Linked DNA regions of Callithrix jacchus. The protein of the gene in region 2 interacts with the protein of the main gene of each other region in a biochemical or structural test. Links are inferred from orthologs where the notes say so. Each region holds a gene or a part of one and is shown on either strand. Other genes may lie near its edges. The genes, in order: SKI, SMAD4, CEBPB, COPS5 and TFE3.

What was found.
Region 1: the proteins of SMAD4 (region 2) and SKI form a complex in vitro, tested with the Homo sapiens proteins (3 studies listed by BioGRID and IntAct, with this or other methods). The link is inferred for Callithrix jacchus from reciprocal best matches to the Homo sapiens genes SMAD4 and SKI.
Region 3: the proteins of SMAD4 (region 2) and CEBPB form a complex in vitro, tested with the Homo sapiens proteins (2 studies listed by BioGRID and IntAct). The link is inferred for Callithrix jacchus from reciprocal best matches to the Homo sapiens genes SMAD4 and CEBPB.
Region 4: the proteins of SMAD4 (region 2) and COPS5 form a complex in vitro, tested with the Homo sapiens proteins (2 studies listed by BioGRID). The link is inferred for Callithrix jacchus from reciprocal best matches to the Homo sapiens genes SMAD4 and COPS5.
Region 5: the proteins of SMAD4 (region 2) and TFE3 form a complex in vitro, tested with the Homo sapiens proteins (2 studies listed by BioGRID). The link is inferred for Callithrix jacchus from reciprocal best matches to the Homo sapiens genes SMAD4 and TFE3.

The regions. Positions count from the first base shown.
Region 1 is NC_133508.1:40,278,145-40,284,431, forward strand, and holds the start of SKI (ski oncogene), read left to right. Parts: upstream 1-2,226; 5' UTR 2,227-2,674; coding exon 2,675-3,643; intron 3,644-6,287. UniProt on the Homo sapiens protein: May play a role in terminal differentiation of skeletal muscle cells but not in the determination of cells to the myogenic lineage. Functions as a repressor of TGF-beta signaling.
Region 2 is NC_133514.1:94,256,091-94,262,342, reverse strand, and holds the start of SMAD4 (mothers against decapentaplegic homolog 4), read right to left. Parts: upstream 3,795-6,252; 5' UTR 3,389-3,794; intron 1-3,388. UniProt on the Homo sapiens protein: In muscle physiology, plays a central role in the balance between atrophy and hypertrophy. When recruited by MSTN, promotes atrophy response via phosphorylated SMAD2/4.
Region 3 is NC_133506.1:45,725,613-45,731,182, forward strand, and holds CEBPB (CCAAT/enhancer-binding protein beta), read left to right. Parts: upstream 1-2,001; 5' UTR 2,002-2,202; coding exon 2,203-3,237; 3' UTR 3,238-3,852; downstream 3,853-5,570. UniProt on the Homo sapiens protein: Important transcription factor regulating the expression of genes involved in immune and inflammatory responses. Also plays a significant role in adipogenesis, as well as in the gluconeogenic pathway, liver regeneration, and hematopoiesis.
Region 4 is NC_133517.1:22,929,694-22,935,261, reverse strand, and holds part of COPS5 (COP9 signalosome complex subunit 5), read left to right. Parts: intron 1-2,724; coding exon 2,725-2,836; intron 2,837-5,568. UniProt on the Homo sapiens protein: Probable protease subunit of the COP9 signalosome complex (CSN), a complex involved in various cellular and developmental processes.
Region 5 is NC_133524.1:49,588,543-49,594,769, reverse strand, and holds the start of TFE3 (transcription factor E3), read left to right. Parts: upstream 1-2,368; 5' UTR 2,369-2,498; coding exon 2,499-2,614; intron 2,615-5,125; exon of another isoform or gene 5,126-5,187; coding exon 5,188-5,301; intron 5,302-6,227. Other genes in the region: CCDC120 (coiled-coil domain-containing protein 120), read right to left, coding at 1,623-1,637. UniProt on the Homo sapiens protein: Transcription factor that acts as a master regulator of lysosomal biogenesis and immune response.

The DNA.
Region 1 (6,287 bases), on a different chromosome or scaffold from region 2:
AAGTAGCTGAGACCACAGGTGCAGGCCACTATGTTCAGCTAATTTTTAAAAAATTATTTTTTGTAGACAGGGTGTCACTATATTGCCCAGGCTAGTCTTGAATTCCTGGGCTCAAGCCATATGCCTGCCTCAGCCTCCCAAAGTGCTGGGATTACTGGTATGAGCCACCGTGCCCGGTTAAATACCTTTTTTTTTGAGACGTAGTCTTGCTCCGTGGCCCAAGCTGGAGTTCAGCGGTGCCATCTCGACTCACTGCAACCTCCACCTCCCAGGTTCAAGGGATTCTCCTGCCTCAGCCTCCCGAGTAGCTAGGACTAGAAGCAAACCCAGCTAATTTTTTTTATTTTTAGTAGAGACGGGGTTTCACTGTGGTAGCCAGGATGGTCTCAATCTCCTGACCTTGTGATCCGCCCGCCTCGGCCTACTAAAGTGCTGGAATTACAGGCGTGAGCCACCGAGTCCGGCCTAAATATCCCTTTTAAGGAAATAACTTTCTTACCCAGCTTTCGGATGTGTTAACATAGACAGAAGCCTGGCCTCCGATTGTGGGGGCCAACGGAGTGAACAGTAAGAGTGGGGGGACAGTGTGGAGGGCGATGACAAGGAGAGTCAACCTCCGAGGCAGTGGAGGGAGGACGCATGGAGCCGCCCTGGGGTCACCTGCAGGTCCTGGCTGCCTCTCCACACAGGAGAGTCCTGTACAGGGACGCCCGGTCGGCTCCCCCAAGGCAGGAGGTCACAGCTGGTCACCCAGGTTGCGGCGGTGTGGCCCTCTCGCCTTCCCCCAGCACGAAAGCCAGCCTGGGTACCCGTGGCCCGTGGGAAAAGGTGCCAGGGCCCAGGGCGGCAGGAATGTCCCTCGGCCTCGGGCGAGGACAGCCCCCAACCCCCTCCCACCCATTGCGTCCCGGAGCCCGCAGGCCTCGCTGGACGCTGCCACCTCTGGGGACCACCAGGCCGACCGTCCAGCTTTGGGACCCAGGCTTTCCCACTTCGGCCTGCCAGGGCTTGTGGCTCTCCCACTGCGTGGCCAGGCGTGGAGAGCCGGCCCGACCGGACGGACGGAAGCGCCCCGCAGCCCCGGGGCGGAGGGCAGGGGTCTCGCCAGTCTGCCCGTCGGGACCCGCGGGGCCGAGATCCTGAGAAGCCACCCGGCCAGGGGCCGGCAGAGCGGCCGCGGCGGGGGCACCGGGCGCCGCCCCTCCCAGGCCCGAAGCCCCGGTCTGGTGGGGCGGGGCTGGCACGGGCGGGAGCCGCTGACACCCGGCCACCGAGCCACGGGCCACGGTGCAGCGGGGGCCGCGGGGCTGCGCCGCCAGGGTCACGTGGCGCGAAGTCCCCCCGCGTGGCCACCATCCCTGTGGTGTGTGGGACCCCAGAGGCGCCCGGGCTCCCCGCTGTGTGGTGTCCCACCCTGGGAGAACCCCGGGTGCGTGGCGTGGCCCGCCAGCCGTCCCAGCTGGTTTGCGGTCGAGCGGGGAGCCTGTGGGTTTCTGGGCCCCGGCGGCGGCGAGACGGGCGCCTTCCCAGCAGCGCAGGAAGCGGCCTCGGCCGGAAGGGGGCCCCGGGCGCCGCCACCACCGCCTCCGCCTCCGCCCGCGCTAGCGGCCGTCGGCGGGCAAGGCCGAGCGGGGCCGAGTCGAGTCGAGCACGGCCGAGCAGAGCCGAGTCCCGGGCGAGCGGAGCCGAGTCGTAGCAGGGCGGGTCCTAGCGCAGCCGAATCCCGGGCGAGCGGAGCCGAGCGCGGCCGAGTCCGGGCGGGGAGCGCGCGTTCCTGGAAGAGCCCGGCTGGGGAGCGGGTCACATTCTTGGCCGGCGCTCTGGCTGAGGCGGACGCACAGCAACAAACAGCGCGGGGGGCGGGGCCGGCGCGGGGCGGAGCGGGCGGCGCGGGGCGGGGCGGCGCGGCGGCGGCGTGAGCTCAGCGCCGGGCGCTCAGTCCGAGCCGAAGCGAGCCGCCGGGAGGATGTTCGCCGAGCGCCCCAAGCCCCGCGCCGCCGCCGCCGCGCTCTGAGGGCCGCGGGCGAGAGGCGCCTCCGCCGCCCCAGAAGCCGGGCGGGCGGGCCGCGGAGCCGGCGGGCGGGCGGGCCGGGGGCCGGCGGCGGGCGCGACGCGGCCGGCCAGCGCCGCCGGGACGAGCCGGGCGGGCGCCGCGCGGTGGGAGGAGCGGGGCGGCGGCGGCGCGCCGCGCGAGGACGGCCCGGCGGGCCCCGCGCCCGCGCCCCCGCTCCTCCCGGGCCCCTCGGCCTCGGCCGCCGCGGCGATTCGCGCCTCTCGGCGCCGCCACCTGCCCGCGCGCCCCCCGCGAGCCCCGGGCCCGCGAGCGTTGGCGTTGGCGTTGGCGGCGCGCGCCGGGGCATGCCCCGCGCCTAGAGCCCGGGGGGCGCGCGGGGGACGCGCGGGGGGCCCGGGCGGCGGCGGGCGCGGCGCGGGGCGCGTGGATGTGGCGCCGGGCCCGGGCGGCGGCGGACTCCAGCGGCGGGACCCCTTCGCCCCGCCCGCCTTCCCCTTCGCGCCCCCGGGCGAGGCCGCGGCCGTGATCGGTCGTGAGCCGGCGGCAGGGGGCGGCCGGGGTCGGGGCCGCGGACGCCGCCGGGGCGCGCGGGGCGGCGGCGGGGGCCGGGGGGGCCCGGGCGCGCGGGAGCGGGAGCGGCCCGGGGAGCCGGAGCGCACCATGGAAGCGGCGGCGGGCGGCCGCGGCGGCTTCCAGCCGCACCCGGGGCTGCAGAAGACGCTGGAACAGTTCCACCTGAGCTCCATGAGCTCGTTGGGCGGCCCGGCCGCCTTCTCGGCGCGCTGGGCGCAGGAGGCCTACAAGAAGGAGAGCGCCAAGGAGGCGGGCGCGGCCGCGGTGCCCGCGCCGGTGCCCGCAGCCGCGGAGCCGCCGCCCGTGCTGCACCTGCCCGCCATCCAGCCGCCGCCGCCCGTGCTGCCCGGGCCCTTCTTCATGCCGTCCGACCGCTCCACGGAGCGCTGCGAGACGGTGCTAGAGGGCGAGACCATCTCGTGCTTCGTGGTGGGAGGGGAGAAGCGCCTGTGCCTGCCACAAATCCTCAACTCGGTGCTGCGCGACTTCTCGCTGCAGCAGATCAACTCGGTGTGCGACGAGCTCCACATCTACTGCTCGCGCTGCACGGCCGACCAGCTGGAGATCCTCAAAGTCATGGGCATCCTGCCCTTCTCGGCGCCCTCGTGCGGGCTCATCACCAAGACGGACGCCGAGCGCCTGTGTAACGCGCTGCTCTACGGCGGCGCCTACCCGCCGCCCTGCAAGAAGGAGCTGGCCGCCAGCCTGGCGCTGGGCCTGGAGCTCAGCGAGCGCAGCGTCCGCGTGTACCACGAGTGCTTCGGCAAGTGCAAGGGGCTGCTGGTGCCTGAGCTTTACAGCAGCCCAAGCGCCGCCTGCATTCAGTGCCTGGACTGCCGCCTCATGTACCCGCCGCACAAGTTCGTGGTGCACTCGCACAAGGCCCTGGAGAACCGGACCTGCCACTGGGGCTTCGACTCGGCCAACTGGCGGGCCTACATCCTGCTGAGCCAGGACTACACCGGCAAGGAGGAGCAGGCGCGCCTCGGCCGCTGCCTGGACGACGTGAAGGAGAAGTTCGACTATGGCAGCAAGTACAAGCGGCGGGTGCCCCGGGTGAGTGGCCCCAGGCCTGGGCGCGGGGTGGGGCCGGTGCGTTGGGTGGGGGGGCACCTCCTGGGCCTTGCGCTCCGGGCTCCGAAGGCCGGGACCTGTGTTCTGCCTCACTCCTGTCTCAAGGCTTCGGTTCGTTTAGGGGAAATTCAGAGCGTTCCCTTGGGCAGGGCCAGTGGGTTTGGAAGGAAGCCCTCCTGCCGGTTCCTCAGGACGAGCCTGGGCGGGGCTGGTGGCGGTGGGGTGCGGGGCCAGGCTTGGTGTGTGGGAAAGGCCCACAGCCATTGCCCAGATAGGCCAGGAAGGCACAGGCCTCTTGTGCTGCCGAGAAAGCGGCCTGTCCCGAGGTCAGGGAAGTTCCATCCAGCCGTACTGCGGCTGGATGCCTCAGGCCCGGGTCTTCCTTGGGGTTGGGGTGAAGGTGGCTGCCCTTACCCCGAAGCTTCCCAGCTTTGAGCCCCAGGAGACAGAGCTCGGGCCAGGCGAGGCCTGGTTTTGTTACTGGCTCTGCTCCCTGTTTGGTGTCCTGAAGTTTTGGGACACAGACCCAAAATGAAGCCAGGTGTCCGGCGTTAGTGGCGGAGGGCCGAGACTCAGCAGCCCCAGCACTGTGCTGGTTCGTCTCCCTGGGCCTGCCAGGGAGCAAATCCCAGAGTCCCCCGTGCAGGGTGAGGGCCACTTGGCACCCAGCTGAGGGCCTGGTCAGCAGGCTCCTGGGCCCGAGTGCTGGAGTTCCTGGCGGCCTGCGATTTGTTTTGGACTCACCCGTTTCCTTCTCTCCCTCTGAAGCGCAGAGGGACACGCCAGGGAGGGAGACTGTCAGCCCGGCTTTGTTGTTTGCCAGTTGGAGGATCTGGAGGATCCGGCGTGGGCAGCTCCCAGGCCATAAGGCACCGACATTACCCAGTGGGGTCCTCAGGAACTTTCCGTTGCATACCTTCCCAAGTATTTGTAACTTTTTTTTAAATATGCAGGCTTATTAAATTGCACACACAGAATGCTGCATTGGCTCAGCTATTCTTGGGAGGCCTAATTAATTCAGCTATTGCATCAAACTTTTTTTTTGAAATCTGTGAATAGATGCTCCAGCCCGGTTTTCTCTGGGCGGCCCTCCAGCAGAGTGTCAGATCGTGGGGAGGAGGGGCTGTGGATGGAAGCGAGGGACTGTCGCCTCTGCTTGGAGGGGGCTGCGGAGAGTGTGCGCGCGCGTGTATGCCTGTTCAGGGGCGCTCTGGCCCTGCCAGGCCAGAGCCTTGGTGCAGCTGCTTGCAGACCTGTGGGCTGTGGAAGGATGCTCCCGGCGGGGCTGCTGACAGACCCAGCAGGCTGGGGCCTTTCGTGTCACACGGGGAGTTGGCTGGGGTGGGCATGATGGCGTACCCTGTGGGCTGGGGGCCGTTCTGTTTGGGGTGGCCACCCTTGCTAGTGCCTGTGGCTGGAGGAAGCTACGTGTTGGGGGGATTGTGGTGGGCTCAGGCAGGTTGCGGAGTGGGTCACCTGTGACCAAGGCCTGAGCTGCTGGGACACACTCACGTCACTGTCTTGAGCTGAAGGCAGAGACTCTCAGCTGAGCAGGGTGCGTCTGTTTTTGTCCGACTGTGGGTCATGTGTGTGCTTGTGGTCTGTCTGTCTTCCTGGGCTTTGCTGGGGGGCCAGCAGGGCCCAGGTCACCCAGCTTCTCCCTCCCTGCGGCAGGCGCTGCGGTTGTAAGCGCCAGGGTCCTCAGGCTGCCATAGAGACACGCCAGACAGGCTTCTCTCTGGTCATCTCAGTGGATGGTTCCAAGCCACCTTTCCCTTTTGAAGTCTTCTCCAGCACTGCTCTGAAATCTCATTTTCCAATTAAAAAGCAATTCCCAAGCCATGATGAAGATGTGCTCAGTCTGAGCGCCTGGCGTCTCCAAGCCTGAGTGGTGGCCACAGCTCTGCCCTGACAGTGGTGGCCTCCTCCTGGCTCCCTGCATGTTCCCCGGCTCCTGCGGGCTTTCCTCATGCCCCTGGGGGTGGGGCACCTAACCTGTCTGTGTCCCCTCCTGCCTTGTGTTTCTGACAAGGGATGGCGGCCTGGGACTCTGCCCTTGCTCAGTACCTGCTCCGTGGGCTCTGTGACTGTGTGGTTGGGAGATCTGGGCTGTAGATCTGGGCTGTGTGATTGGGAGATCTGGTCCCCTGAGGTCTCCCCAGGACAGCCGTGTGCGTGTCCGTGCGCATAGGGACGACACAGGAGAAAGGAGTGTGGTCTCAGGGTGGGCGTGGACCCACGGTGCTCAGACCCTGATTGTCCTAGGAGTGGCCTGGGAGGCCCCGCCCTTGTCCTAGCTGGCTGCCCCTGGTTCCTCCCACTCACATCTTTACAGCTTATTCTTAGGATATGTTTTGATTTCTTCACTTCCTTTGTAGCTTAATACTTTTGATCTGCTGAGGATGAGGGCAGAAGGAACGAGGAATGTACTGGAACTCTTTGCAGGGGCTGCTCCTCCCAGCAGGCCTTTGGGCTCTGAGGAGTGGGAGGGAGCGGAATTGCCTTTCAGGTGTTTGGCCAGGCCAGGGCTGGGTCCCCTGCCCGAGTGAGTAGCGCCACTCTGCTACCCATGATGCAAGGTGGGAGAGGGCAGTGATGTTCTCGGGTCCCAAACAGTGGGAGGCGG
Region 2 (6,252 bases):
ACAAAAATTTGCCAGGTGCTGTGGTGGCACATGCCCGTAATCCCAGCTACTCGGGAGGCTGAGGCAGAAGAACTGCTTGAACCTGGGAGGCGGAGGTTGCAGTGAGCTGAGATTGTACCACTGGACTCCAGCCTGGAATCTCCATCTCAGATGGAGCAAGCCTCCATCTCAAAAACAAACAAATAGAGCAAGCCTCCATTTCAAAAAAAAAAGAAGAAGAAATGCTGTGTTATTCTGGTCTGTCCTTTAACTGTAGATAACAAAACATTTTTTGTCAGGTTACTTTTATACACAATTAACAGTCATCTCAGAGCCACCATCCATCATCGATCTAAGCAAAAAAAAAAAAAAAAATTATTCGTAACTACACAGTCTTCCAGGTCAACAACACCAACAAAAAGAAATCCAAACATATATAATGAGTGCTGAAATGCCGATTAAAAGATGCTTAAAGAACCAGTCACTCTAAAAAAAAAAAAAATCACTGAATTAAAAATGGAAAAAAGGTTAGGTATGAACTAGAGAGGGACAAAATGAACTAAATTTAAACATCAGCAAAACCTGTTTTCACCAAAATAGACAAAAATTTAGACAAGCCTAAATATGCATTTTACATATAATGAACCCTGCAGATTCTATAGGGTTAACCGCCCTAGTAGAGGCCTCAGTAATTCACACCTCAATTAGAATGGTGTCTAATGATGTTACTATAACACTGGCTCAATCAGAAAGAAACTGCTTCCAAGTGGGAGAGCTGCAGTGTGACTGGGCAGCACAAATTAGGTTAATGCTTGCTCCTTAATTTGGGGGGAAAAGAAAAACTGAAGAGGAACACAGAAAAGGAATTCACACACAATCAATCGCTCGACTAAAATGTAGCTTAAGAGGCCTTAAAATAGAAATTCCATTTGACCCAGCAATCCCATTACTGGGTATATATCCAAAGGACTATAAATCGTTCTACTATAAGGACACATGCACATGCATGTTCATTGCAGCACTGTTTACAATAGCAAAGACCTGGAACCAACCCAAATGCCCATCGATGATAGACTGGATTGGGAAAATCTGGCACATATACACCATGGAATATTATGCAGCAATCAAAAATGATGAGTTCGTGTCATTTGTAGGGACATGGATGAATCTGGAGAACATCATTCTCAGCAAACTGACACAAGAACAGAAAATGAAATAACGCATGTTCTCACTCATAGGTGGGTGACGAAAAATGAGAACACATGGACACAGGGAAGGGAGTACTAAACACTGGGGTCTATTGGGGCAATAGGGAAGGGACGGGGGCGGGGCAGCTGGGGAGGGATAGCCTGGGGAGAAATGCCAAATGTGGGTGAAGGGGAGGAAGGCAGCAAAACACACTGCCATGTGTGTACCTATGCAATTGTCTTGCATGTTCTGCACATGTACCCCAAAACCTAAAATGCAATAAAAAAAAAAAAGAAAATGAAGCACAAGTTTTCTAAAATAAGATTTGCTGCCTCCTAGTATAGGCAGAATTGCTTCAAGCAGCAAAACTATCATAAAAAGTCAATCATCCACATAAAACTTATTCCAAAATATTTCAAAGTGAAATATTTCTCAGCACAAATTTTCATTAAGTCTGAAAAACAGATTTGCAATTTGTTTTTTTCTAAACTCAAGATTTACACTGAAGGCACTGACCTAAACAGAGCCATACACCCCCACTTCAAAAATAAAAAACCCAAGATGCCATACTTTTTAAAAACTCACCCGAAAACCTGGAAAGCAAGGAAAAAGCCACTTCTATTAATAAAGTTAAATATTGTAACAATTTTATCTAAAGAAGCTTTTGGTTTTAATTCCAACAACTTAAGCCTACATAATTCATCACCATCTTTAGATCTAAAGCTACTCCAAATTATAAATGCTTGGCCTATCTCTATTACATTTGTTCTTTAAGGAACCCATTTAAGTATACAAAATCATGACAGCATTATGGAAGAAACATTAATTTTAAAAATCCGTGTTTTTAAATGTTAATCATTTACAGTTTAGAATGTTATCTACTAATCACATCAGAACTTTCCAATATAGACAGAATAAGTCCTCAGCATAAAAAAAAAGTTGCACTTTAGAATTTCCTATATTTCAACTAAAAAATATATATCTAGTCTCGGCAGAGTATGGCAAAGTAATTTATGAAATCCACCATAAAAATTATTCAAATGCCATGTTCTAAACCTAATTACAACATTATGCATTTCATTTTTTTGAGACTCTAATAAATGTTTTTTGCCAGCAAAAAGTAGTGAATCTAATTCTTAAATACCCGAGTAACCAAGCTGCTACTAAGACTAAAAGGATTCTAATTCCGACAAAAGTCAAAAGGTTATTAACAAAAATTAGCTAAGATTGTATGTCTGCAGAAAGTCAACTCAGTCTAATTCCCTTATTATCTTGTTATATTTATTATTCCTAAGTAACTGGCAATTTCACCTTAAACTACGGTGCAAAAACTAAATGCATTAAGAAAGTAATTTGGAAATAAATGTGTGTGTGAGTGTGTGTGTGTGTGTGTGTGCGCGCGCGCGCTTTATTAAAAACAAATGTACTTAGGTTTTTGAGGGAAACAGCTATTAATATTCAGCAGGGCTTTGTAAAACCTCTGCACCAGCCAATAAACCTTTCAGGTTAACTAAACATACTCGTGTCTTTGAAAATCTAGTTTGAGAGATCCTAACAACAGTTTGGGGCAAGTGATGGAGCCACCGCCCTCCACCCTACACCCATTTCACTCTCAGTACACGTAGTGCTAACAGTAAGATCAACTGTGCCTTTTATTAGGGAGCATGTTATATAGGGGGAAGAAGGGGTTCAGTTAGGTGCTAAGAATGTGTCCGGCATACCACCGTCACTCTCAGTACTCAAAAACTAAACATATCAAAGACAGAAGCGTAAACTGGCATTGACACGACTAGGAAGAGAAAGTAAAGGACAAAGAGAAAACAGAAATTGGCTGGAGAAAATAAATTAAGACAAACAATTTACAACTTTCATTTAGACCGTAAGGCAACACACTCCAGCCGACCCAACGCGCTCAGCCCGGGCGACCAAGAAACTACTCCAGAACAACAAAGAGGAGCGGCGGCCGCGGCAGGAGTCCCGTCCGAGTTTAACTTGATTCTCGCACGAGCTGCTAGCGGAGCTGGGAGCTGGAGGGACGCGAGGCACCGCTACCCTGCATTCACCCAGCCCGCCCGGGCCGGCTCGTCAGGTAGCCACGGTCGCCCTCCCAGCGGATCCGCGCGCTCCCCGCCGCCGCCGGGAGCCCGCCCCGGGGCGGAGAAGCCGCGGGCGGGGTGCGCGGGCCAGGCCGGGGGAAGGGGAGGGGACATGGCGCGGTTACCTGGGCTCGGGCGGTGGCGAGGGGAGTCCGCTCTCCCGCCGCTGCTGGTCCGCGGACGCTCCGGGCCCGTCGCTTTCGCCCGCGGCCCGGAGAGCTCCTCGGCCCCCGCCCCGAGGCTTCCCGGCCAGGCCGCCTCTCCTCAGCGCTGCGCCGCTGCCCGCGCCGACCGGACCGCCTCGAGCTCCCGGGCAGCCCCGCGGCGGGGGGCCTCTCTCGCGAGGCACCCGGCTTCCCTCACCCGCTCCCACCCGCTGGGCGACTGCGGAGCCGAGGGGAGGGCGAGAAAGGCCTCCCGTTGAGAGCAGGAGGGCGCGAACGCAGGCTCCGCCACCCGAGCCGCTCCGTTACCGCAGCGGCGACGACGAGCAGGGCCGTGTTGTTGCTGCCAACTTGTCGAGAGAACACTGAGCATGCGCGCGCGGGGACCACATCCGGGTAATTTCAGGGTTTGGCCCTTTTCCCCCGCAGCTTTCCTTTCTCCCGGCTGCCCCCGCCTTCCGTCCCCCGCCCCCTGTGAAGGGGAGGGTCGCTCTGCGCAGGCGCCTGCCGGGCAGCGCCAGCCGGCGGGAGGCTCAGAGTCCCGGCCTCGGCCTGGGCCTGGGCCTGGGCCGCGATGCGGGCGGAGGGCGAAGGCCTGCTTGAGGGAGTGGTCGCCAGGGACACTGGCATCTCTTTGCAAAAAAGTACCCAAGCTGCGCAGGAGAGCTCGGCGTTGAGTGGGCGTCCAGTAAGTGTTTATAAACAGTGATTAGCCCGGCCTTTGTTGGTTTTTTGTTTTGTTTGGTGTTGAGGACCTGCGTAGGCACAAAAATTGGCCTTCAAGAGCCAGTCTACAGCTCGGAGGAGAACGTGGCTAGGTTGTAGCAGTTCACTTCGGTAAGAAACAGACGCTGGCCGCACCTTCCCTCTCCGGCAGCCCCGAATCACGAGCCCCAGAGGTGTTTAAACTCGAGAGACGCACAGGACAGTCAAGGAATCCCTTACTGAAGAGCCTTGCCAGGCGTTCCAAGTGTGGGTGGTTTTGTTGGAGGAGATACAGAGCACTCTCGGAGCTGGAGGGGAACTTCGACTCCTACTACACACCTATTAACTAGGTTATCTGTTTGTTCGGTGGGGAAAGGCATAGGCTCTGCTTTTGGCTTTATATTTCTTTTATTTCATTTTTTACAAGACGCATGCATTTCTTTTTTTAATTTAAAACGCATTAATGATATATTTTCACCAAGCAGGAACTACTTTGGGACTAGTTTTAGTCCCTCCAAAACTAATGATGAGCCAGTTCTAAAGTCATTTCTTAGGTCACGTAGCCCAGAACTCTCTACACCCACCGCATGCCTTCGCCACATAGATCCTCTGTGCCTCATTCTGTCCTCCACATCCTGGGCCATTTCCCCCCCACTTTTTTTTTTCTTTTAATGCCAGAAAGCCCCTAAAGCTTCAAACTGGTGTTCTCTTACCACTGGGGTTTATGAAGACCAGTTTTAAGGGATTTCATTTCCATATCTTCCGTTGCTATATGTTCTGTTTTCTAAAATTGCCCAGCTTGAGAAGGGAGCTAAGGACACAGCACCTGTTTTCAAAACTACCCTTCTCCCTCCCACCTTACAAAAGAAAGTCAGAATTCTTACTCATTATTAAGGTACACTGGGTCAATGCAGAACCTCCCCAGCAATCCAAAAGGGGCAATTCAAATATCGGTATCTATGCTGAGAAAGTAAATGACCTTAGGTGAAGGGTATTAAATTATTTTGCAAGTCGGATAGTTTTCCAATCTTTTCTGTCAACAAAACTGAAAGTAGATCTGTCAGCTAATAGATTACTAAACATGATTTAATAATAGTTCAATATGTGATTCTTAGGTAATACACTTCAGAAGAAGTTTTTTAAAAGTTGAGACATTGTTATAACTAAACTTCTTCCATTCCGTCTGTATTAGTTATCTATTGCTGTATAACAATGTCAGCACAAATATAGAAGCTTAAAACAACACATATTTATGATCTTACAGTTTCTGTGGGTCAGGAGACAAGGCATGGCTTAGCTGGGTCCTCTACAAAGTGAGGCTGGAACAAAGGATCCGTTTCCAAGCTCATGTGGTTGTTGGCATCATTCAGTTCCTTGCAGGCTGCAGGACTGAGGGCCTCAGTACCTTACAGGCTGTTGGCTGGAGACCCCCTCTGTTCCTTGCCATGTGGTCCTCTCCATAGGGAAGCTAACAATATGGCAGCTTGCTTCTTCAAAGCCAGCAATGGGGAGAGTCTCAGCAAGACACTGGTTTCAATCTTATGTAACATCATCACATACACTGTGTCACTCATACCCTGTCACTTTTGCCATACGTTGCTGGCCAGAAGCAAATCACAGGCACCACCTACACTGCCAAGGGGAAGGAGACACACAAAGGCATGAACACCAGGAGGTGGGGATCATATGGGGCTTCTTTAGATTCAGTCTACAATGCTATCTATTTATTTAGGCAAATGGCATTCTCTATAAGCTCAGCCTCTTCTCAGAATTTCTCTTCAGGTTCCCTTCACCTTTTTACTTAAGGGAAACCCCAGCTTTGCCGTGGAACACTGCTTCTCCTTCCACCTCTCAAGTAGTGGCAACTGTGTTTTCAGCTTTCAGCCTCTCAGTGCCTGGAAGTGGGGTAGGTTTCCTTCTTGCTTCTCAACATTGCTTTCAAACCATCCCCCTCCTCCTCTAAACCAGCAGCTTTAAATCTTGCTATCCAGTACCTCTATCGCTGACCTCACTCCCCTTCATCTCTGCACAATTTGCTCCTGTCAGTCACTCTAATGCCACTTCTGTCCTAGTGCTAGGTGGTTATAAGATCTTCCTAGTACCCTGGCCTCTCAGTTCCT
Region 3 (5,570 bases), on a different chromosome or scaffold from region 2:
GGGAACAGCAAATGCATTCATTCACGGGTCCATGTTGAGTGTGCTGCACCCAGGAATTCCTCGTGGGCCAGCCCTCCCTGAGCGGCAGTCTGCAGGGAGACTGAGATAGACCACTAGGAGAATGGAGGCTGGTGATAGGGAAGGAAATTCGCCAGCAGGGGGGACAGAGAGGGCTGCTCTGAAGCCGTGGCCTCTAGCTCAGCCCCGAGTGTCCCATTTTCCAGTGAGGAAGGCCTGGCCGGGTGGCCCTGGGGAAACTGCTGCACCCCTCTGGGCCTTGATCCCTCCCCAGCTCAGAGGCTGCTGGGAAGGCCCAGAAAGCCAGCAGGCTCGGCCAGTGTTCTATCCCCTCCCTCCCTGCCTCCTACCCACCAAGGGTGCCCAGAAATGTTATTTCTCCAGCTCTTGGGGGCAGAGGTCACCCCAGCTCAGCAGATAACATCGAAGGTTGAGCAATGCCCGCCTGCCTGCTGGGGCCAGGGCTGGGGTCAGTGGGCCGGGGGTCAGCCCCTGGCAGGCTGGGAGCTCCTGCCTGGGCAGCCTGGGCTAGGAGTGGCAGAGAGGTGGGCCCAGGGAGCTGCCCCAGTGGCCTAGGAGTGGGTCCCGGAGGGCAAAGGGCCCTCTGACCTGAGCCTACCCAGCAGAGGCGGGCAGTGGTCAGAGGACCTCTGGCCTGTGCTCAAGTCCAGACTGGTGCTTGTCACTTTCCCGTCTGTGAAAAGGCAGCAGCAGAAGCATCTTCCTGGTGGGGTGAAAAAAGTTGAACCTTGGGGTCCAGGCCCACCCCGAGCACAGGGCAGGGACTTGGTAAAAACAGGGGTGTCTCTTCTCTTTCCTGAATGCCACCCCCTCTCCCGTGAGGCCTGGCTTAAGCCGCTCACGGCAGCTTCAGAAACAGAAGCTTTTTGGTCTCTGGGGCTGGCAATAGGTCTTAGGGCCCAGAGAGGGCAGGCATTTCGTGTGGGATGAATGTGGGCGGGACACTAGGCTGTGACCTTGGTATGCCATGCTATGCCCCCTCTGGGCCTCCAGTGGCACAATCCGTGGGGGTCCCTTTTTCTCCGATGTGCTGCCTATAAGGTAAACCTCAGGTTGGGGAGTCTGTAGGAACAATGCCACCACTGCTGACAGTAGGGACACCCTTCATGGACTGCAGCTGGGAGAAGTGAAGGGACTCACCCAAGGTCACACAGTGTGGCAGGGCCGAGCGCCCCCCAACTCCATCCCCATCGCAGGGCCCAGGTCGGGTGGTGCGGTGCGGGGTGGGAGAAGACCCAGGTGTTGAAGCCGCGAGCAGGCGGCAGGTGAGGTGGGCGGGGCGCCGTCCACCAGGGTCCAGCCCCCAGCGGAGCGCGCTCCTGCCCTGTCCCCTCCCCGACCCCCGGGATCCTCATATTGGTGGCTTAAGAGGGAGTCGTCACAGGCCTGGAGTCTCCTTTCTAGAGCCAGGGACCTGGGGAAGGGGTGGGAGTTTAGGAGAGGAAGGGCCACGGGGATGGGTCGCTTCTCCAGGAGCTAGAGCTGCGGCCTGGGGTCTCCAGGGATCGGCCCGGGGAGCGGCCCCCGGTCGGCAGTCCGGGCTCGGCTCGGCCCTCCTGAAACCTCCGCCTCCTCCAGCAGGGGGCGGGCCGCGGCCGCGTCTCCGGGGGGAAGGCGCTCAGGTCGCCCCCTCCTCGGATTCCCCCGCCTTTCAGGGCAGCCTCCAGCCCAGAGGGGCGGTCCGGGGGCGGGGTCGCACCGCCCCCTCTCGCTCCCAATCCCGGGGCGGCCGAGCGCGGGTGGGCAGGGGGCGCGATGCCGCTCCCCCCGCGGCCCGGGGACCCCCGGAAAACGCGCTCCGGGTGCCCGGTCCCTCCGCTGCGCCCCGCCACCGGCCTCCCGGGGGTCTCGGGCGTCCGCGGCCGTGTCCTCCGCGTCCCGGTGGCGGCGGCGGGAGGGGCCGGCGTGACGCACGGTTGCTACGGGCCGCCCTTATAAATAACCGGGCTCAGGAGAAACTTTAGCGAGTCAGAGCCGCGCACGGGACTGGGAAGGGGACCCACCCGAGGGTCCAGCCACCAGCCCCCGCACTAATAGCGGCCACCCCGGCAGCCGCGGCAGCAGCAGCGACGCAGCGGCGACAGCTCACAGCAGGGAGGCCGCGCCACCTGCGGGCCGGCCGGAGCGGGCAGCCCCAGGCCCCCTCCCCGGGCACCCGCGTTCATGCAACGCCTGGTGGCCTGGGACCCAGCATGTCTCCCCCTGCCGCCGCCGCCTGCCTTTAAATCCATGGAAGTGGCCAACTTCTACTACGAGGCGGACTGCTTGGCTGCTGCGTACGGCGGCAAGGCGGCCCCCGCGGCGCCCCCCGCGGCCAGACCCGGGCCGCGCCCCCCCGCCGGCGAGCTGGGCAGCATCGGCGACCACGAGCGCGCCATCGACTTCAGCCCGTACCTGGAGCCGCTGGGCGCGCCGCAGGCCCCGGCGCCCGCCACGGCCACGGACACCTTCGAGGCGGCTCCGCCTGCGCCCGCCCCCGCGCCCGCCTCCTCCGGGCAGCACCACGACTTCCTTTCCGACCTCTTCTCCGACGACTACGGGGGCAAGAACTGCAAGAAGCCGGCCGAGTACGGCTACGTGAGCCTGGGGCGCCTGGGGGCCGCCAAGGGCGCGCTGCACCCCGGCTGCTTCGCGCCCCTGCACCCGCCGCCCCCGCCGCCGCCGCCGCCCGCCGAGCTCAAGGCGGAGCCGGGCTTCGAGCCCGCGGACTGCAAGCGGAAGGAGGAGGCCGGGGCGCCGGGCGGCGGCGCAGGCATGGCGGCGGGCTTCCCGTACGCGCTGCGCGCTTACCTCGGCTACCAGGCTGTGCCGAGCGGCAGCAGCGGGAGCCTCTCCACGTCCTCGTCGTCCAGCCCGCCCGGCACGCCGAGCCCCGCCGACGCCAAGGCGCCCCCGGCCGCCTGCTACGCTGGGGCCGCGCCGGCGCCCTCGCAGGTCAAGAGCAAGGCCAAGAAGACCGTGGACAAGCACAGCGACGAGTACAAGATCCGGCGCGAGCGCAACAACATCGCCGTGCGCAAGAGCCGCGACAAGGCCAAGATGCGCAACCTGGAGACGCAACACAAGGTCCTGGAGCTCACGGCCGAGAACGAGCGGCTGCAGAAGAAGGTGGAACAACTGTCGCGCGAGCTCAGCACCCTGCGGAACTTGTTCAAGCAGCTTCCCGAGCCCTTGCTCGCCTCCTCCGGCCACTGCTAACGCGGCCCCCGCGCGCGTCCCCCTGCCGGCCGGGGCCGAGACTCCGGGGAGCGCCCGCACCCGCGCCCGCGCCCCCGCCCCCGCCCCCGGCGGCGCCGGCAAAACTTTGGCACTGGGGCACTTGGCAGCGCGGGGAGCCCGTCGGTAATTTTAATATTTTATTATATATATATATATATCTATATTTTTGTCCAAATCAACCGCACATGCAGATGGGGCGCCCGCCCGTGGTGTTATTTAAAGAAGAAACGTCTATGTGTACAGATGAATGACTCTCTGCCTCTCCCTCTGCCCCTCTCCAGGCGCCGGCGGGCGGGCCGGTTTCGAAGTTGATGCAATCGGTTTAAACATGGCCGAACGCGTGTGTACATGGGACTGACGCAACCCACGTGTAACTGTCAGCCGGGCCCTGAGTAATCGCTTAAAGATGTTCCTACGGGCTTGTTGCTGTTGATGTTTTGTTTTGTTTTGTTTTTTGGTCTTTTTTTTTTTTTTTGTATTATAAAAATAATCTATTTCTATGAGAAAGGCGTCTGTATATTTTGGGAATCTTTTCCGTTTCAAGCATTAAGTAAGAACACTTTTAATAAACTTTTTTTTGAGAATGGTTACAAAGCCTTTTGGGGGCAGTAATTGGCTTTTGTTTTTTTTTTTCTTTATTTTGGATTTGTTGGATTTTGTTTTTGCGTTTCTGGTGTGTAGGGGGTTGTGTGTGGGGAAGCTGCTGTTATTTTTGGAGGTTTTGGTGGTTGGGTGGGGGTGTTGCAGCTGGTTTTTCTGCCTCTGCTACTCCTCCCCCCACCCACAGGGTCTGCTTGGAGATGGGGTTCCAGCTCTGGGGAAAAGGGGAGAACAGTGATGGCTCAGGCTTTCAGGCTGACTCAGAGTCCCTGGGCGCTGGGACGGGTGGCTGGGAACCCTGCTTGAGAAGGGAGTCCAGGGCCTCTGGCTGGTCCGGAGTGTCAGGCTTGGGTTTGGAAGGGCTGGGACGTCTGTGACCCCTGTCCTGTGTTTGGGGATCGTAGGCACGCCTGTGACTGTAAGAGGAGAGGGTTCAGGTCTTGGTCCGAGTCAGGGCAGATGCCTGTGGTAAGTGTAGTAGGGTGGGTTGTTTAAAACACAGTTTGTGTATACGTGTGTATTTTAAAGAGGGGAGCCTGGGTATGTGGGCAAGTCTGTGTTTGTGTGTCCCTGGCCAGCAGGAGGGGAGAAGCCAGGCCAGGTGGAGGGAGGTGGGGAAGGGGTTCTCACACTTTGATTCCCTTTCCTTGGGATGGGGGGGCTCATCACTTGCCCTTTTTTGCCCAAACATGGACACTGAGCCCACCATACCTGCTTGCTCAAGGTGGCTGAGTCCAGGCACGAACCTGGGGCTGCTAGCCCTTATTCCCTGGGACAGGTTCCTCTTCCCTGCCCCCTGATCCCTCTGACCCTTCCAGCTTCTCCCTGCACCCCCACCCCCATGCAGCCCCGGATGGCATTCCTGAGAGTTGAGGATGTAGATGGATGTGAGTGGATGCATGTACAGCGTCCCACAGTGCCTGGCATGCAAGAGGTGTTATATAAGCGCTTGCTCTTGTTATTATTTTTCGCTGGGAAGCTGCTGGCATTTGGCACCCCAGTCTCCAGTGCAGCGCCAGTGTGGCCACTACTTGCCAGGGGCCGGCATCTGGTAAACACTGGACCTGCCCCATCCCATTTAGACCTCACAACAACCTTTGGGGAGGTGGGGACTGTTATGATGCCTGTTTCTAGAGGTGGGGAGCAGCTTTGGGCTGTCCGATCCCTATGGGCAAGACAAGGTTGGGGGTTGCCCTGCTCTGAGGAATTCAGGGGCAGCAGGGGTTGTAGACTGGCCTGCCAAAGGCCTGGGGCAGTCTGGGATCTCAGGAGCAGCTGCTGATACGGTGGTTCCTGGTTTGAGAATGGGAAATGTGTTGCCCCTCCTTTTCCCTTTGAGGGGCTGGTTGTGCTTTACTGTGGGAGCCCAGGGCATGGGGAACAGACAGCAACACTCAGCCCCCACCATCGCAGCGCTGAGGATTCTGGCAAGCTCCACCTCCCTAAGGCCAGTGTCTCCTGATGGTGGCTCGAGGGCTATGCAGATTGCTGGACACAGATAACCTCACTTCAACCTGGGGCCTGCAGTGTGGCCCTGACCACGTCTCCTCCCAGCCCTGCGCAACTGGACGCCTGGCCAGGCACGCCTTCAGAGCCTCGAAGTCAGTCCAGTCCCAAGCCCCACTGTCTCAATGGTTTCTGTCAGTACCAGTGACTGGCACATTGGCTCAACCTCTAGGATTTACTTGTGAAGGCAGAGGCTGTGGGGCTGG
Region 4 (5,568 bases), on a different chromosome or scaffold from region 2:
TTATCTAGTGCCCCCTTTTCTCTATACCACTTATTGTAACTTCAAAGAATACTTTGGCTACCCATGTGCTGCTACTGCACTTATTTTTCTATTTAGAGATTCTTAGAAAATTCTAGAATTTCTAAAATTGAAATTTTAATTATATGTGGTTTTCAGTAATCTCTGACTTATTTCTGTAAATACAATGATCTTTTCTTCCTTTTTGGTTCGTGTTTTTTTATTCGAGGCAGAGTCTCACTAGGTTGCTCAAGGACTACAAGCACACTACCATGCCCAACTAAACAAATATATATTCACATAGAGATTTAGTGTTCATTATTTAATTTGCCCTATTAAAAAGAATTTAAATAATTCCTGTTTGAGAGAATTGCTCCTAAGCCTGGAAACACCTTTGCTGTGATACTTTAATCTTCAGAGGAACTCTCAATTATTTTTTATTTGAGTTATAGTGGTATCAAAGATTTATCCTTTGAAACAAAAAAGATTGAAATGCTTTATGTTTTCTGTATTCGAGCAGATCTACTGTCCCCATTTGTCTATTCTGTTGGTTTATCCTTTCTTTCTTAAATAACATTTTTTTAAAGATCTTGTTGCATACCATGCATTAAATAACTTTCTTTTGGCAAATACCTTCCCTTGCCACTCTGAACTATGAGTCTACCAAAGAGGGGGCAGCTAGTTTTCTAGCTGGGATTATGGAATTACAGGCATGAGCCACCGTGCCCATCCTGATGTCTTTATGTTTTATTTAATTTATTCTGCTTAATTCATTATATTTCTTCATTGCTAAAATTTAATCAGTAAGCATTCTTGCACTTTGGATCTGAGGTGGGTGCATCACTTGAGGTCAGGAGTTCGAGACCAGCCTGGATAACATGGTGAAACCTCATCTCTGCTAAAAGTACAAAAAATTAGCTGGGCATGTTGGCAGATGCCTGTGATCCCAGCTACTCAGGAGCTACACAGGACATTCGCTTGAACCTGGGAGGTAGACGCTGCAGTGAACCCAGATTGCGCCACTGCACTCCAGCCTAAGTGACAGAGCAAGACTCTGGCTGAAGAAAAGCATTCTGTTTTACAAGGGGTACCTATGTGTCTTTATCTTTTGCACCACTAATCTCTGAGTCTGAACCTCTGTCTCTTCTCATCTGCTCTGCTGCAGTGGCTTTCTTTGTGGAATCCCTGCCTCCAGTTTCTCTCCTGTAACATGTCCTGATGGTACTGCCACAGCCAGGCTTCTATAAAACACCCCTTTGACTGTATTATTAATCTGCTAAAGTACCTTCCATTCTACTCAAGCACTTTCCATGAGTCCCAGTTATCCAAAGGATAAAGTCTAAATTTCTTACCTTTTGGCCGGCTGTGGTGGCTCACACCTGTAATCCCAGCACTTTGGGAGGCCAAGGCAGGCAGATCACCTTAGGTCAGGAGTTTGAGACCAGTCTGACCAATACGGTAAAACCCCATCTCTACTAAAAATAAAAAAATTAGCCGGGCATGGTGGTGGTGGGCGCCTGTCCTAGCTGTTTGGGAGGCTGAGACAGGAGAATTACTTGAACCCAGGAGGCAGAGGTTGCAGTGAGCCAAGATCATTCCACTGCACTGTAGCCTGGGTGACAGAACAAGACTTTGTCTCAAAAAAAAAAAATTCTTAACCTTTTATGTAACATCCTCCGCCACCTAGACCCCAGCTTTCTAGCTTCCCCTCACATAATTCTTCTCTTGCTAAATTGTCCAGCTAAACCCATTACCTTATTATCCCTTACATGTCTTTCCTTTTTGTGTGTTGATGCTCTCTGCCTAATGTCCCCCTTGCTCTCACATATCCATACGATAGATTCATAAATGGTTACCCTACACCTTGCCTTTTCCCTGAGACTTCTCAGGCAATTCTAGCTCCAGATGATCACTTGAGCTCCTCTACATGAAGAGTACTTATTATCTCTAACCCTTAGTTGGTGGATGGTTCATTTTATATAGCACTATAGCATCACTTATTGTTATTCAATGTACATCATTACATTTAATGTTTTGGTGGGTTTAGACCACATCCCCCATATAAATGGTGACTTCCTCAAGGTAAAGATGTCTCTTATGCTTTTTTATATCCATTGTTACACGGAAGCAACTGAGATAGTTTAAATTTTTAAAAAATGCATTTTCAGACATTTAACTTCTAGATTTTTCTTACTATGCCCTGATGATAAATTAGGCACCTTTGAAAGTGGGAGCAATTTTTTTAGATGCCTTAAGGACCTACCTAAAAAATTTGATTTTCCAAAATGCAGTAGGTCCTAAATAGGGAACTAGAAAGGGAAACAAATCCACATGAGATTTTTATTATTTTAAAGTGGCTAACAAAAATTATAATTTACCCTAGAGAGGCAGCTCATTAAATTTATGTGCTGTTGGCTTCAATTTTTCAGCAACAGGAATAAACTTGTCATTCAGAAGTTTTGACTGGTTAATAACATCTTGGGAATTTCTGGGCTCTACAGAAATAAAAGGAATAAAACAAGGATGTTTAGTAGAAGATTTGGATCCACAACCCTTGAAGTGTAAAGAAACCATGGTTAGCTATTACCTTGTTGGAATAAAAACTAAAACATGAGAATAAGGGATAATTTGAGAATAAAGTATAATTCACTTAAATTTGGCCATAACTTTTATGTGATGTAGTTGAATTTTTTTTCACTTACTAAATTTTGTGCTTTTATTTCATAGATATTATGCCTTAGAGGTCTCATATTTCAAATCCTCTTTGGATCGAAAATTGCTCGAGCTGTTGTGGAATAAATACTGGGTGAATACATTGAGTTCCTCTAGCTTGCTTACTGTAAGTATTATACTTGCAAGGAATGCATTTGAATTTTATCTAAGCTACTTAGCCATTTAATATCTGAAACACTGTTTCACAGAAAGGCAGTACCTAACTTGGCCAAGACACCAAGGCTGAGGTGAGATTCTGCACCACCAGAGTGGGATTAGGATGCTAGGCCAATTCAAGATTTTTGTCATGACCCATAGAGACAAAGTCTAAGTAGCAAATAGAGTGGCCAGATCAGGGTGAGATCTGCTCCTGCCATAAGGAGATTTATGGATAAAAAATATACAAATATTGATTTTTGTGTATCAGGTGTCTCAGCTTGGAGTCTGGTTGCAAGTAACACGACACCTAATGAAATTAGCTTAAGAAAGAGAACTGCGTAAGTTGCAAAGTTGAGGAATAAGGCTTAACTTAGGCACAGCTAAGTTTTCATTCAAACAATATTATGAGATCTTGTGTTTTTTCTCTCTTAGCATTGATTTCATCTTAGTTACTGCTAGTTTCAGGCTTCATGTGAAAGCAAGACAGCAGCTTTAGCTTTAGACCTCCAGGCCTCTCAGTTTCATGTTCAAAGAAAGAGATGGTCAAGATACACACACACACACACACACACACACACACACACACACTCTCTCTCTCTCTCTCTCTCTCTCTCTCTCTCTCTCTCTCTCTCTCCCCCCCCCCCCCACCCTCTCTCTCTCTCCCAGTCAAAACTTCATTGTGTCTGACTGGCTTTACTTAATCACATGCCCATTTTTAGGACACACACACACACATACACACAGACACACACCCCCATGCAAAATTTCATTGTGTCTGACTGGCTTTACTTAATCACATGCCCATTTTAAGGCCAACTGAATAAGCCTGATGAATGGCTTTGGCCATGGCAAGTGCTTTACTGCTGGGCCACAGTGTAGAAAACTCCTTCAGTAGCTCAAGTACTAAAAACGGGGAAGGAGAGGTTCCCAAAGGGAATCAGAATAGCATTACCTTAAAGCAGTAGATGCTGGGAGGGAAAAAAAAAAAGAGGTCACTGAATTTTTTCTGATAATATAAAAACCCAAAATATTTGGAAGGATATTTAATCAGCTTCTCTATATATAGAACTTAGGAACAATTTTTTTACTTTTCTAAAAAAGCAGGCCATTTCATATACTGCAGTATATATAGTAGTTAGAACCATAGGATTTAGAATAAAATAAACTGGGCTTGGAGAATATGAGCTACAGCAGCAGGAGTCATAGTAGGACCATCACTTAGAAGTTTCTTACGCTCTTTGATCAAGTATTGGTTGAAAGGAGTACAGCTGAAGCTGGAACTAAAGAAGGCATTATGCTTCCAGAAAAATCTTAAGGTAAAGCATTGCAAGCAACAGTAGTAGCTGTTGGATCACGCTTTCAAGGAAAAGGTGGATTCAACCAGTTAATGTGAAAGTAAGAGATAAAGAATTATTCTCCCTGAATATGGAGGTACCAAAGCACCAAAGTAAAGAACTACTTTGCCATTCTTTAGGTTTATTCAGTTGACCTGGAAAGCCAAGGATTGTGTTTTCGTTTCGTTTTTTGAGACAGGGTCCCTGTCATACAGGCTGGAGTGTGGTGGTACAATCTTGGCTCACTGCAGCCTCAGCCTCCCAGGCTCAAGCAGTCCTCTCGCCTCAGCTTCCCAAGTAGCTGGGACTATAGGGGTGAGCCACCACACCCGGCTAATTTTTGTATTTTTTTTGTAGAGACAGGGCTTTGCCATGTTGCCCAAGCTGGCATTGAACTCCTGGGTTTCAGCAGTCTGCCCACATTGGCTTCCCAAAGTGCTAGCATTACAGGCTGTGAGCCACCATGCCCAGCCAGATTATTTAGAGATGCTGACATTCTTAGAAAGTATGTAGACTAAAGTAAATCACTAATGAAATGCCATCAACATGAAGCCGCTCATTGCACGTAAGTTCTGAAATACTTAATTATATAAATAATTTCCATGTCTCTCTTGTATAATAAGCAAATGATATCCTAAAAAATAAAATTGACTTTGAAAACAACTCTGCCACTTTACTAGTTCTGAGCGACTTTCAGAAAGTTATTTAATGTAACTAAGCATTTCTTTGTTGTAAAATGGTGATATACTACATACATCATTAAGTACTCTGAGAAAATTAAATGGGCTACTTTATATAAAGCAATTAGCAAAGTGTCTGGCATATGATAAAGCCTCATTAATTTTTTTTTATTTGGTGCATTATATGCATGGAAAAATACCTCACTTTAGCCTATTATTTAACTGTTCTTTTTTTAGGCTAGTCAAGTGAAGCAGTGTATTTTTTATTATTTTAAATAGAACTCTGACAAGCTCTCTGTTCTTTCTTTTTTTCTCTCTCTCTTTTTTTGAGACAGGGTCTCACTCTGTTGCCCAGGCTGAAGTGCAGTGGTATAATCATCTCTCACTATAGCCTGGACTTCCTGGACTCAGGTGATCCTCCTACCTCAGCCTCCTGAGTAACTGGGACAACAGACATGCACACAACCATGCCTGAGTAATTTTTTATATTTTTTTATAGAGACGGGGCTTTGCCATGTTGTCCAGGCTAGTCTAGAACTCCTGGGCACAAGCCATCTGTCCACCTCAGCCTCCCAAAGTGCTGGGATTACAAACATGAGCCACAGTGCCTAGCATCTTATTTCTTATCTTTAGTAGTCAGAAGTAGCAAATTAGAAGGATGGAGAATGATCATCATAGCAAATATG
Region 5 (6,227 bases), on a different chromosome or scaffold from region 2:
TACCACCCTCGGCTAATTTTTTTGTATTTTTAGTAGAGACAGAGTTTTGTCATGTTGGCAAGGGTGGTCTTGAACTCCTGACCTCAAGTGATTCACCCTTCTTGGCCTCTCAAAGTGCTGGCATTACAGGCACAAGCCACTATGCCTGACCATTGTTTTTGTTTTGGAGACAGTCTTGCTCTGTCACCCGGGCTGGAATGCAGCAGCGCCATCTTGGCTCACTGCAACCTCCGCCTCCTGGGTTCAAGCCATTCTCCTGCCTCAGCCTCCCAAATAGCTGGGACTACAGTTGCATGCCACTACGCCCAGCTACTTTTTGTATTTTTGTAGAGACAGGTTTTTGCTATGTTGGCCAGGCTGGTATCAAACTCCTGGACTCAAGCGATTCACCTACTTTGACCTCCCAAAGTGCTGGGATTAGAAGTGTGAGCCACTGTGCCTGGCCCATTTTTATATGTTTAAGGCATCATAGGAATTTTAACATTGGATCTACACGTTCCATTTTAGAATTTTGATTGGTGTAATTGGTAATGTATTAGTTTCTTTTGTTTTTGAGACAGACTCTCACTGTCACCCAGGCTGGAGTGCAGTGATGTCATCTAGGCTCACTGCAACTCCACCTCCAAGTTCAAGGGATTCTCATGCCTCAGCCTCCCAAGTAGTAGGGATTACAGGCATCCACCACCACGCCCGGCTAATTTTTTTTTTTTTTTTTTTTTGAGACAGAGTATTGCTCTGTCACCAGGTGCCAGGCTGGAGTACAGTGGCACAATCTCGGCTCACTGCAATCTCCGCCTCCTGGGTTCAAGCAATTCTCCTGCCTCAGCCTCCCAAGTAGCTGGGACTACAGGCGCACGCCACCACACCCAGCTATTTTTTTTTTTTTGGTAGTAGAGACGTTAACCATGTTGGCCAGGATGGTCTCGATCTCTTGACCTTGCGATCCACTCGCCTCGGCCTCCCAAAGTGCTGGGATTACAGGCATGAGCCACCGTGTCCGGCCAGAAGTCATCTTTATTATGTGGAGGTCCCCTCCCACCCCTGGTATGAGATGGTTTGTGTGAGTATGAATGTGCAAGTTTACGAAAGCAGCTGACAGTCCTGTGAAATAAGGATGCCAATACAGAAGGTCCGAGGTAAATGGGAACTCAGTGAAACTCCTATAGGCGCAACAAAGGGCGGGGTCTTGGCATGTCGGGAAAGAGGAAGGGAAGGCTGCGGGTCTGAGTGAGCTACGTGCACCTGAAGGTACGGATGAGACCCTCCGCCTTGTGCAAGCCGGCTTGCATGCGTCTGGCATACAGGAGCGCTCAGTAAATGTTGAATAAATGAACCAATGAGCTAATAAACTAATTTTGGAAAGCTTCTTGTATGACAAACAACCTGCTAGCACTTTTCATATACTATCTTTAATCCTCAGAACAACCCTGCCAGACAGGTATTTTGATCTCCATTTAACAGGCCAGGAAAGTTGAGGCTGGGAGAGGGGAGGTCCCCTTCCATATTCAAACCTGGATCTTTGTGATTCCAGAAGTCGTCATTCACCGAAGGGACCAGATTCATCACCCGTCAAGAATTTATTAAGCACATATTGCGCAGCGCAACGAACATAGTACACCAACCTCTCTCGATGGCATGGAACAAGTGGAGTACTCCCAGAAGACCAGCTGGGCGGCTGGACTGCGGATACCAAAAGGATAGGGTTTCTGGCCCGGACTTTCAGGGAATGTAGCTGCCTCTGCCTCATAATTATGGCTTTGGCTGAGAGAGCACAGTTAGATCGAGGTTGCAGCGCGGTCTAGGGCGCAGATATTACGAATATTGGCCGAGAGAGGGCGCGGTTCCGCAGCTAAAAGCTAGGCCAGGAGACCCTCAGCGCGCCGACTGGCTGTCGAGGCGCAGGCGCAGAGGACCCAAGGAGCGGCTTAATATATTATCTTGCAGGGGAATAATTTGAGAAGAGAGGGCGTGGCTCCAAAAGCGACGCAAACATGGAGGCGTGGCTCAACCAAATTGCCCCTCGCCTATTTGTCGCTGTCCTTGAGGGCGTGGACTGGGCGCTTCTTTTCAGAATGAGGGCGGGCCGAATCGCGTTTTTCCTCCGCGTTGGAGGCGTCGCTTAGGGCGGACCGTCGAATCGCCGTTCAGCGATTGGCTGCCTCACTAATGGGTCGTGGCCAGACGGGCCGTCCATCCCCAGTGCGGTCACTTCCTGTGGAGTTTCCCCATCCCTGGCAGGAGGGAGGCGGGGGAAGAGGACGAGGGGGAGGAGGGCGGTCGTCCGGGGTTAGGTTGGGGGGGGCGTTGGTCCTTTCTGGGCGGGGGATGACTCACAGCCCATCCCATCTCCCCGACGCCGCCCGCCCGCGCAGTGCTAGCTCCTTGGCTTAGCGGAGGAGGAGGCGGTGAAGAACTGGGGGGAGGGGGACTCTTATTTTGTTAGGGGGACCGGGCCAAGGCCCGACCGGCCTGGCAGGGCTCGCCCGCGGCCGGGCGTCATGTCTCATGCGGCCGAGCCAGCTCGGGATGGCGTAGAGGCCAGCGCGGAGGGCCCTCGAGCCGTGTTCGTGCTGTTGGAGGAGCGCAGGCCGGCCGACTCGGCTCAGCTGCTCAGGTGCGGGGCCGGCAGGGGCCGGGAGTGCCGACTGGGGCTCCCGGGGGCCTGATCTGGGGGGCAGCGGGGGCCCTGGATTGGGATTGGAGGCCCTCGGCCTAGGCTTGGAGGACGTCGGGGCGCCAGTCTTGTGGGGGCACCAGTCTTGTGGGGGCACCTAAGGAATCCGGCAGTGGCCTGCTTGGACTGTGGCTTAAAGGAGTCGTGGGAGAGTGCATTAAGCGGGCCTGTGTCAGGTTTGGGGAACCCTTGACTGCGTCTAGAGGGGCTGATTCTGGAGTATCCAGAAACTGAACTTGGCGGACTGGGACTCTGATTAGAGGCTGAATTCGGGGGTTTTCAGTCAGACATGAAGGGAATGAATTTGAGGGGACACTGTCAGGTGAGGCACTGATTTTAAGGGGATCCTGGAATCTTTTTCCCTCAGCGTGGGAGAAGGGGTCCTGAGGGACAGAAGTGCTGTCTTGGGAGCTTGGTGCCTCTCAGTGGCTGGTTGCTGTGTTTGATGATAACATGAATCTGGAGGGATTTGCAGGTATCTCAGATATGCTGTCTGGGACCAGCCTTGTGAGTGCGTGTGAATGAACAAGAGAAGCAACATTAAGCAAGACTTGATCAGAATAATCTTTTCTCCCCTGCCCGCCCACCCAGCTGGGGCAGACCCAGGGATAGTGGAAAAGCCCTCTTCCCACACCTGATAAGGGCCTGAATGACAGAGGGCAGACAGAGGGTGATGATGTTACCTCTTAGCTCAGACAAGGCCTCAGACCTTGTTTGGGAACCCAGAGGAGGCTCTTGTTCATGCTGCTACTTGCTCTACCCTCTCAGCCCTTCCCAGTTCCTAGTCCCACACCCCTCTTATTTTTATTTTATGTTTTTTTCTATCTCCGACCTCCTGGGGGTAATCTTGAATCTGTCCATAGAGCTGGAATGAGTACAGATTGCACCATCCCTGCCTGGGTGGGTCCCCTCCGGCCTCTTCTCATCCTCACTTCCATCAACGGGCTTTGGAGCCCCAGCCCTCCCTGCTCATCCCAGCACGCCCATCTCTTCCAACTTCTATGCAATGGGTGTGTGAGCTTGGCGGGGGCTGCGTGAGGGGGGAGGGGTCTTTGCCTCCTTTGTGCCTGGGATTGTGCTGAGCTCAGTGCCTTCCCCGAGCTTCCTCTTCCCAACTTCCTGGGTGGTTTTAGGACTCCATCTGAGGGTGAGGAGAGGAAGGAAGAGAGATCCTTGGGGAGGGGAGAGGATTCTTGTCAAGTGAAGTCACCAGCAATCTCTCAGGATTCTAAATCTTTGGCTAAATTAAAGGATGCATATTCATCTACCACATGTGTGTTAAGTGTCCCTTGCTCTCTAGGGCTAAGCATAGCCTTTCTGTATATCGATTCACCATCTTCTAATTCCTCTGTAACAACCTAGATCATCGCAGTAGTGGACATAGTTAAAAGGGAGGGGTGTATTTGGCTTATTTTGTGTGACAGTGGGTGTTGGTGTTGGAGGTGTGTGTGTTTTGATCTATCCAAAAAAACAGGAGAAGGCTGGACAGGCTCCTCTGGCTAAGAAAAGAATGCTTGTATAAAGTGGATCAACCACCTATATTCTCCCTCCTGTAAATCCAGTCTGTTGGAGCGAGGGGAGCCTTTGATATTTCTATTTTATATTTGGGCATGTGTTGGCATCCCGTGAACTCTGGCTAGGGCTGGGAGAAACTCATTTGTGAAATGGTAGATCTTTACATCAGGTGAATTATTCCCAGTTCTCTTTGTGATGCATTCATTTTGTGTTACAAGGGGCTCTTATGCTGAGGGATACCCCCACTTGCTGTGTGTGTGTGTGTGTGTGTGTGTGTGTGTGTATGTGTTTACGTTTACACATATACCTGGGCTCACATTCAGCTGTAAAGAAAATAGTAGGAGGTTGGCCAGGTGCAGTGGTTCACGCCTGTAATCCCAGAGAGGCCAAGGCAGGCAGATCATGAGGTCACAAGATCAAGACCATCCTGGCCAACAAGGTGAAACCCCGTCTCTACTAAAAATACAAAAATTAGCTGGGTGTGATGATGTGTACCTGTAATCCCAGCTACTCGGGAGGCTAAGGCACAAGAATGGCTTGAACCCAGGAGGTGGTGGTTGCAGTGAGCCGAGATCGCACCACTGCACTCCAGCCTGGTGACAGAGAAAAAAAAATAGTAGGGAGTATAGGGGCTGAGAGAACTCTGAATAGGAAGTCAGGAATTCTTCCATAAAGTGAATTGTTACTCCTAAATTCTGTTTAACTCAAACCCAGGTTCTTACACTGTTGGGGTTGGGATACAGGCATTCTTATTATTCTGACTCTTAAGGGACTATGAGTAACACGGTGGGGAAGGGAAAAGGGTATGAGGGGGAAGGAGGTGGGAATTCATGGTGGTGTGGTACCCAGCAACGTGGCCAAATATGAGGGGCTTGTGTTCTTCTGTTCTTTCTCCCCATCTCTGTCTGTCTGTCTGTCTCTCTTTCTCTGTCTCAGGGGAGGGCAGGGGAATAAGATCCTTCATTCAATCACTGACCACCACCCCACCTCCCCCTCAGCCTGAACTCTTTGCTTCCGGAATCTGGGATTGTTGCTGACATAGAATTAGAAAACATCCTTGATCCTGACAGCTTCTACGAGCTCAAAAGCCAACCCTTACCCCTTCGCTCAAGGTATGTATGAATTGTCTATCTGAGTCCCCTCCCAATTCCTCAGCACTCCTCTCCCCTCTTGATGGGCAGAGGCCCTCAGTACCAGCCCAATCCAGTCTTTCACTAGCCTGCATTTTCCAGATGGTAATATTAGGGGCCAGAAAGAGCATGATCACACAGGGAAGTAGGTTGCCAAGCTAGGATTCCAGTATCTCTGTCAAGACCTCCCCTGCCTCCCCGCAACCCACCTGCACACCCATTCATACGTAAGGGTTTCAGCCTCAGGTGTTCCAGCTGGCCTGGAGTGCCCAGAGATAGGGCGTGGCCTGCTTAAACTCACACCCCTGGGTGGGCGGGGCCATACCTCTAGCCCCAACTCAGCCCCTTCCCACACTACCCACTTACCCACCCTCAGCCTTTGAGGAGCCCCTGCTGGTCTCTTTCCCCAAGCTTGGAAGTCTAAATGTGCTGAGTCATCGGCCCGGGCTCTGAGAGAGGGGAGGGGATGTGGAAGAGGGGCAGGAAGAGAGGATTGTGAAATCTCTGAGATTTTCAAAACTGACTAGCTCCTGGGACCAAAGGTCCAAGCAGGGGAGGAAGAGGAACCTGGGGCTTCTCCTATTGCTTGGTGCTCACCCCCAGGAGCTCAGAGAGCTTCTTCAGCCTCACATTGGGCTTAGGAGCCCTGTGTATCCATGTTCTGCTGCCACAACCTCAATTCTGCTTCTTCTGCTCCTTTAAATAGGACAAACCCCCTCTCGCAGAGCTGAACAATGGCATCTCCACTTAATATATGAACAGACTCAAATCTAGGCTTCACCATTAGGACTAAAAGCTAAAACTCCCCCACTAGAGTGACCTCCAGTGTGTCCCCCATCAGATTGTTACCTCGGAGAGCCACCACCAAGCTTGGTTCCTGTGTCTCTACTTCTACATTGTGGTCTCAG